Linked DNA regions of Oryzias latipes. The protein of the gene in region 2 purifies or fractionates together with the protein of the main gene of each other region. This does not show direct contact. Links are inferred from orthologs where the notes say so. Each region holds a gene or a part of one and is shown on either strand. Other genes may lie near its edges.

Evidence for each region. Proteins that work in one complex are often made in the same cells at the same time.
Region 1: the proteins of serine/threonine-protein phosphatase 2A 55 kDa regulatory subunit B beta isoform (region 2) and ecsit purify together in Homo sapiens (affinity purification with mass spectrometry; 3 studies listed by BioGRID and IntAct, with this or other methods). This does not show direct contact. The link is inferred for Oryzias latipes from reciprocal best matches to the Homo sapiens genes PPP2R2B and ECSIT.

The regions. Positions count from the first base shown.
Region 1 is NC_019876.2:29,030,038-29,034,638, forward strand, and holds the start of ecsit (evolutionarily conserved signaling intermediate in Toll pathway, mitochondrial), read right to left. Parts: upstream 3,081-4,601; 5' UTR 2,860-3,080; coding exon of another isoform or gene 2,835-2,859; 5' UTR 2,804-2,834; exon of another isoform or gene 2,294-2,803; intron 1,204-2,293; exon of another isoform or gene 1,196-1,203; 5' UTR 1,109-1,195; intron 968-1,108; 5' UTR 906-967; coding exon 774-905; intron 52-773; coding exon 1-51. Other genes in the region: eml3 (echinoderm microtubule-associated protein-like 3), read left to right, coding at 2,835-2,859.
Region 2 is NC_019868.2:20,553,339-20,556,548, reverse strand, and holds the end of serine/threonine-protein phosphatase 2A 55 kDa regulatory subunit B beta isoform, read right to left. Parts: intron 2,345-3,210; coding exon 2,189-2,344; 3' UTR 746-2,188; downstream 1-745. UniProt on the Homo sapiens protein: The B regulatory subunit might modulate substrate selectivity and catalytic activity, and might also direct the localization of the catalytic enzyme to a particular subcellular compartment.

The DNA.
Region 1 (4,601 bases), on a different chromosome or scaffold from region 2:
AAGGCGGGGGTCCTTGGCGAAGACGGGACTGCAGTGGAATCCCCTCAGGACCTGCAACAGAGCGTCCAGAGGGGCTAACGTGTCACAAAGGTCAGGAGACTCTTTAGTCTCCTTCAGAGTTACGGTCTAGACATAAAGAAATTATTATTCAAATCAGTCCAAATCATTTTATTGCAATCTCTAGATAATAGAAAAATATGATTTAACACTCAGAAAAATTAGTTTTATTATTCAATTTTAAGGATGATATTTTAAAATTCAATTCAATGAGGAAACCTTTAACTGAATTGACAGCAGAACTCCTGTCACTACCGTTGTATAAAAACAGAGGGAGATCCAATTAAATCTGTTAAAACATATTCATGTGGACAAACATCATATTCTAATTTTATTCTAAACTGAGTCTTTTGCACCTTTTACACTAGTTCTTTGTCACTGTAATCAAAAGTAACAATACAAATACAAGAACCTCACATAGAATACAATCCATTTGCTTAAAAATAGCAAAACAAACATTTAATTTGAAATAATTCTACTTTTTTTTTCCTTTTATGAACGTTTGATTGGAACCATTTGTAACTTGATTGACATATTTGTATTGTGAAAAATCATTGATCATTAAAAATGAATCGCTGGAAAGAAGCGATTCCTGTTTTCAGGAGGTAAAACACAGACGGGACCTTTGATCTCGGACCTGTCACTCACACAGACGGGACCTTTGATCTCGGACCTGTCACTCAGGGCCCGTCAGGAGGGGGTGGGCCGGAACTCACCCGGTGCTGCTGTGGGTTGCTCCGCGCGGCGCGCGGACCGTGGGGTTCTGGCTGGAGGACCCGCGCCGTCTGCCACGAGCATCGGAGCAGCCGCAGATCCTGCAGCCGCTGTAGGCAGCGGGAAACCTTCATGGTGGAGCCATGAAACCCACCGTCCAGATGGTAGATCCACACAGACAGACAGACAGCGACGGCTATCGAAAGAAAGACGGACTCAGGGAGGTCTGAGCGCGTGCCAGGATCACAAGCACCAAAATGTCTCCCACTAGTTATCAGTGACTCCCGGAAGAGATTAAAAAATGAAGCAAAGTGACAAGAAAACACTCAAAACACACCTGAAAACGAGTCTCCTTCAAAACAACCACACGGCGGCAGCTTACCGGGGAACCAACGTCCTCTGTCCGGCACCTTTTTCCTTCCCCCTCACAACAGAGAAAAACAGCAACAATCGTTCCGCAGGTCCGGAGAAGAAAGTTCCGCGCTGTGCTGCCCGGTGATTTTAGACAGAGAAAATGTAAATATTTGTTTACGTAAATACTAACCGTTCTTCCTAACATAAAATACGTCTTAGCAGCAGCAGGAAAAGGCAGAGAGGTGCAGAGATTCAAACCCCAAACCCTCCTGTCAAGGCTGGTGGCAAGTGTTCAACCAGGTGGATTTTAATGTGACAAAAGCTCAGCAAGAGGGAAGATAAATAAATGTCATTCATAAAGTAATAGTGCCCCCCCCCAAAGCTAGTCAGGAGAGGCCTCCAAAGTTTAGTAGAGAAGAATTTAACTTAGAAAAAAGTGGAAAGCCGTTAAAAAAACAGGTTTGCTTTGATAGTTTTGAGGGAAGTTTTATCAAACGATAATTAATGCAATAATCGTTGAGCACTAAATGTTTGAGTAATATTAATTTCTGGAATGTTGTCATGTCTTTTTGTCAGAAGTTACAAACTAGAATATGATAAATATGTAAAAACAAGTTAAATAAAGCACAATAGGGGTGGGTTTATGTTCATTAGCTTTCTCTTACTCCTCAAATAATTAAACTCTTTTGGAAAATAAATTTTAATTTAATAGGTTTAATATGTCGTGTATTGTTTATATAAGTGCAAATATTTATGATTAAGAGTAACTATAAAGGAATATATGTTTGCAACTGTTTTTATATGTTTTACTTTTTAGATTTTTTAATCACTTCGTGACAAATCAGCTTGAGTTTGATATACTTGATCTATACATAAATGTCTTTTGTTTGTCTTTTCGGTTTTGATCGCTTGAAATAAATCAAATCCAAACGGCCTTTTTATTTGTGTATTGGGCCTTTATTTTGGAAGGCTGGACCAGAGAAATGGTTCATAGAATTTAATCTGTTTTTTAAACCAAGAAACTGTGATGTAACTATTGTCAGAAGAGCCCAAAAATGGGATTTTTATTCATTTCTCCTTGATGTGAAATCTGTCTGATGCATTCAGATATTATCTGATCCTCCTGTCTGTTTACCCAGCTGCAGGGAAGGACAATGGGGGGGAGGGGGGTAGTCGGATTGTGTTTTGGGAGTTTGGTTAAGTCTGGTGAGGCTGAACGTGGTCATGTGATCCTCCCAGCGGCGGACATCAAACGGGATCAGCAGCAGCAGATGCTTTATTCAGCAACATGCAGTTCCGGATGACGCCACGCGGGGGCGACAGAAACAGCGGCGCTGAGGCAGCAGCAGGCATCGCCGCGCTGCATGAGCTGAAAACTCCACACTAACATTTTTCGCTCTGGCTGTCAGCGTCCGGGGGGGTTTCTGGGGCTGGGGGGCTGCAGCACTGACATGACAGCGGTATGTCCCGCTGATGGATCCCTGTGAGTTCTGCTGTCAGTTTGGGAGTCGGTAATCCGGTTGCAGGGCTCGCGGGGTTCCTCCTGGCGCGTGAAGCGCGCGGCTGTGAGCGGCATTCACGTTTCCGGTGTGCTGCAGCGCCCGCAGTTGACTGGAGCCTTTGTGAGACACTCCCGCGTGAGCATGGAAAACACACCTTAAAGTATAAAAACACAAACCTTTGGCCGCACCGCGCCTCTCAACCGGATCATGGACTCCTCCACCAACAGTCTGGGTGAGTAGTTCTGCTCCGAACCAGCCGAACTTTAGCGCCAGCCCCGCTGCTTCTGACTGACTGGTTCCGATCCACTGCTCCTGCGGGGAGCAGTCATCCTGGAGTTTTTTTGTAAATGTCCGGTTGGTGGAGGACTTCAGAACATTTGTTTGGGTTCTGTTCACAACTTTCTCTTTCCGTTTCTTGGCTCCGGTTCGGTTCTGACAGTAGTTGGTTTGTCTTCAGCCCGCTTTTCACCTGCAAACGGCCGCGTAAAGCTCCGCGTCGAGCGAGGCGCAGAGATGTGTGCCGCGGGCGCAGCGCCGTGCGTGGGTGTGCGGGGCTGAAGTCATATTTGCGGTTTGGAAGCAGCGCTTTATCTCATGACCTGAAGGCGGTTCTGAGGAATGCCTTCACTTTCGGATCAGCAAACACGGCCCGGATGACAGCAGCGGGTCGGGCTCCGCTCCACGGGACAGACAGAAGCGGCTTTTGTTGCACATCTGGGGCCTCTGCGGGGCCTGCGGGGCCCTTCTGTGCTGATGCCTTAAACGTCTGGGAACGTCTCGTGCGCTCAGATTCCCGCAGCTTTCATTTGGAGGCTCTTAGATTCAGCTGGAGGCGCTTCTTGTTTCCGTTTTTGCATCAATGAGCTGCAGCTCCTGCAGAACTCTGGCTGAAGGTGTCAGGAGCAGCGGAGACCCCACCTGAGGATGTGGACTTCCCCTATAGGCCTCATTCTGTCCATCACGTCTGTCATCCTCCTCCGTTTAGACCAGAGTACTGACTGTACAACAGAAATAACGTCAAAATACCTCGATGGGTGTGTACTCCAATCCACTCATCTTCTTCTCTTCCTTTGGGTGTTTCCCTTCAGGGTCTCCACAGCCAATCAGCTTCCTCTGTCTGTCTCCTGCATCCTCTACCAGCAGCTACCTTCATGTCTTCCTTCATCCAGAGTCCTCCTCTCTGGTCTTCCTCTAGACTCAGCATCCTTCAGTCTGTCCTCTGGACATGTCCCAACCATCTCAGTCTTACCTCTAACGCAGGGGTCCCCAGACTTTTCAGAGACGTTTCCATCCTCTGATGGGGGCCGTGGTCAGTTTGAAACAGAGAAAGTGTGACAGTCGCAGGGGGGCCTAAATGTAAACTGAGAGCCACACAGAACCAAATGTTAACAAGCCGATCTGTTACTAAATAATCCTCTCTGGGTTCTTTACATAAAAAGTCAGTAAATATAAAGTAACAGTATTTTAGATTTTAGAAAATCAATAATAACCACATAAATCTCTGTAGTTGTTCACAGAAATAGAGCTTCTGTTGTCCGTGCACAATCTCAGGTTCAACTTCAGTTGTGGAGCAGAATCTCCTAAATGACTCATGTGATCAGTCTCTTTAGGTTTTTGTGTTCTTTCCTTATAATCCAGTCTTGGATGTTTCCAGGAGGCTCGCCTATAAAACCCTGTCTGCTCTCTCTGATCAACTTCCTAAGTTCAATGCAGTAGCAACATTTTTGGCTTGGCTCACATTTCAATTCAAATAAGATAACTTTATTTATCCCACAATGGAGAAATCTTAATGGGAAAGCTTTATTGACATTTTCCATGCTTCCATGAGTCTCAATCACGTGGCCAGCCTAAAAAAATAATAATGCAAAAGAAAAAAAAAGGGGGGGGGGGGTCTCTCTCTGAGACCCTTTTCAGTGGGCCGGGTCAAATGGGCCGGGCCGTAGTTTGGGGACCCCTGCTCTAACGTGTGCTGAT
Region 2 (3,210 bases):
GGGTTGGATGTCTGTCAACTTCCTCTTGGAAACAGCCTGTAGATTTTCTATTGGTTTCAGACCAGGTAACTTCATCTATAACTTTATTTAATTTTGGAACATCAAAGCACCGGTTTAGGTATTTTCCTGTCATCCAGACAATTCTGATATGATTTCTGCTTCAGGCATACCACATTTGTAGCCCACCTTTACTACTCTTCTTTGTCTGCTCTGCTCAGACCACTCTTGATGATGCTCCCCTATATTCTCACATAGATTTTTCTCAACAATCTTCTCAAGGCTGTGGTTATTCCTGTTAATGGTGTATCATTTTCTACCAAAATTCTTTTTTTAGTTGACTTATCTCTTAATATGCTTGGATACAGCACTCTGTGGAAAACCAGCTGGTTCAGCAACGTATCTTTGGGGTTTTCCCTCCTGAATGGTGTTGATGACTGTCCTCTAAAGATCTGTCAGGTCAGCACTCTCTCATGTGATTTCAAGGCCTACTTACTCAGACTGGAACCCTTTAACCCTTGTGCTATCCTAGGCACTTTAACATTGGGAGTGGGGTCATCTAGACCCACTAGACAGTGCGCTGAACCTTTTTTCTTCAATGATTTGTGAACCTCACTGGTGTCCATGGATTACATGAAATCTTTCCACCTTTATCCACCTTTGTCATGGTAGGGAGAACTTTTTAAGACTTACCTGTATGTTCGAATGTGACAAATGGTTACGGATGAAGTCCAAGAAGGACAGAAAGTGAGCTTGCACATCTTTATTATTTTTTTTATTCAAAGAAAGTCCAGTAAGCATAAAGACTGCATGGTATTTCATTGCATTTCAATACATTCTGAGCTATAAAAGTTTTTTTTTTCTTCTTCAATGATAGAGTCACAAAGGAGGTTGTTTAGAAGATATTACAGTTAAAGAAATCACACTTACTTATTCCCTGATTTCAGAGAGTTCAGTTAGACCTTTGACTGCCTTGCTTTGGGAGAGTCAGCTCCTGTGACCAATCTGAGACAAGCATCTGTCTCTGAACAGTTTGAGTCGAGTGTTGTGAGACAACCCGCCGCTGCACCGTATAACCCTCTAGCTGCATAGCGCCTCAAATAACCTGTAGATGTTTGTGACCGTATGCAGACTGACAGTTTAATCGGAGCCAGATCAGCCGCATGCAGAAAGGTGCTCTTCTAACACTGTAATTGCAAGTTAGGTTGAACAGTTTGATCGGATCCGTTTTGAAATTGCAGATCGTTTTCCGCACTATACAAACAAGGTAACATGAGGCTAGGATTCTGTATTTGTTTTTAGAACAACTTTGCAATATTTTCATGTCTTTTGCAAACTGGTGACATCAGACAGACTGTATTTTAGCTTTGTACAAATCACCTGAGCTCAAAAGCATTTAATCAGGTGCTATGGTAAATCTTGACTACAGTGCTTCAGGCTGCTTTTTTTGGAGCTTTTCTGTTGACATTTTCCCTTTAAAGAGAGAATAAAGAAGAAAAGAAAAAAGGAGAAAAGTCCAAACTTTTTTTTTAAACATTCACACAGTCCCCTCCTCCCCATGCCCAGTCCTACGACATCGAACCCACACACCAAAAGAAGGCACCACAGCTTCTAAACAGACTCAATGACCGAGAGAAGGACTCAACAAAACTACAGCATTAAATTAAACAATTGACACAACCTTTAAGGGTTTCGTTCACATTACCGACCACATCAGTCTCGACAAGGAGACACAAAACTGGTACAAATGAGGCCTGCACCACTGGAGAAAAAAGCGGGTCAATGATTAAAAGCCAGCAGGTTAGGCTGTCCGACTTCACCTCCATCAGAGGCTGCAGGGTTCATCACATGCGGTGAAGCATGAGCAGACTGACAAAAAACAAGGGGGCACTGTTGCTTCATGACAAAGAGTCATCGTCATGGTAGCTCGGTTTCTGTGTCTTCTGTTCAGGTTTTCCGTTTTCTGAAGGATCTAGAGGGCTGCTTCATGACAGAATTCATGCAGCAATCCTCAGGTTGCATAAATTTCCTGCATTCCGTCCTTTTATGTATCCATCTGGCAAACTGAGCTGGAACTGAAATGATGGAATGAAGGGTTTTCTTCACGTCAGTCCTTCCCATCATCCATGCTGTCGTCTTTAGTCACTGGATAGTCGGCTCAACAGGTGCTGAGCTCAGGCTCAAGGCCTTTTTAGTTCACCTTATCCTGGAAGATGTAGAGGTTGTTGGTGGCGGCTACAGCAATGATGTTCTCGTATGGGTGCCATGTTGTGTGAAGGATCTTTTTGCTAAAGTCCAGGCTGTCCACGCTGATCTCATCCTTACGGCGTTTTCCACCCACACACACCTGGATGTAACAGATGAAGTTAGAGAAGAAAAATGTTGTTTTGTGTTTTTAGAAACTGTTCCATTTTAAATAAATTGCTGAAAATAATAATAAATGACATAAGAACAAACAGCAGTGTATTCAATCAAAATTAAAAAATACATTTTGAGTCTATCTGTACACATTTAAGGGGAAATGATTAGCTTTTATCTACGAACAAAACCACTCCACATGCTGTTGTAATGAGTGCAGAGAAGCAACTAATTAACTCCAAACTGCTCCTAATATAAAAAAAAACAAAACGTAAGGAGCATCTTCAAGTTACATAATCAACATCAAAACTTGGTTTCTACAAATGAAACTTCCTTGTTGTCATTGAAAACATATGAAAACAACTGCCTCCTAACGCCTGTCCTATTAGATTTAATCCTGAACGGATCAACTGTCAGCTAATTAAGAAGTATAAAACCATGTTCTGAAAATAGTTTTGATGACAAATCACCTGGTAGTTATTATGTGGCTACAAATTTCTCATTATTATTCTTCTCATACATTTGGTTTCATGGATCCCAAACGGAGCTTATTCTAAGGAAAGCGTTTAAGTGAAATAAAAAAAAAAATAGCCACTATTATATTAGATAGTGTTGCTTTACCAAACGTGTGAGAATTCTGTGGTTAAGTTTGTTTTTTTTTTGTTTTTTTTGGTCATGTTCTGAGCTGCTCTGTCAGTCACGCCAGTTCCAGGTTCATCATGATCCACAGCTGTCTTCATTTCAGTTAATTGTCCTCTCTGCATATTTAACGGTCTGCTTTTCAGTTCATCTGCTTTGCTTTGCCTCACTTTTGTTTCTCCGTGGGGTTTTTCTTCACCATGCTTGAGTTTATTT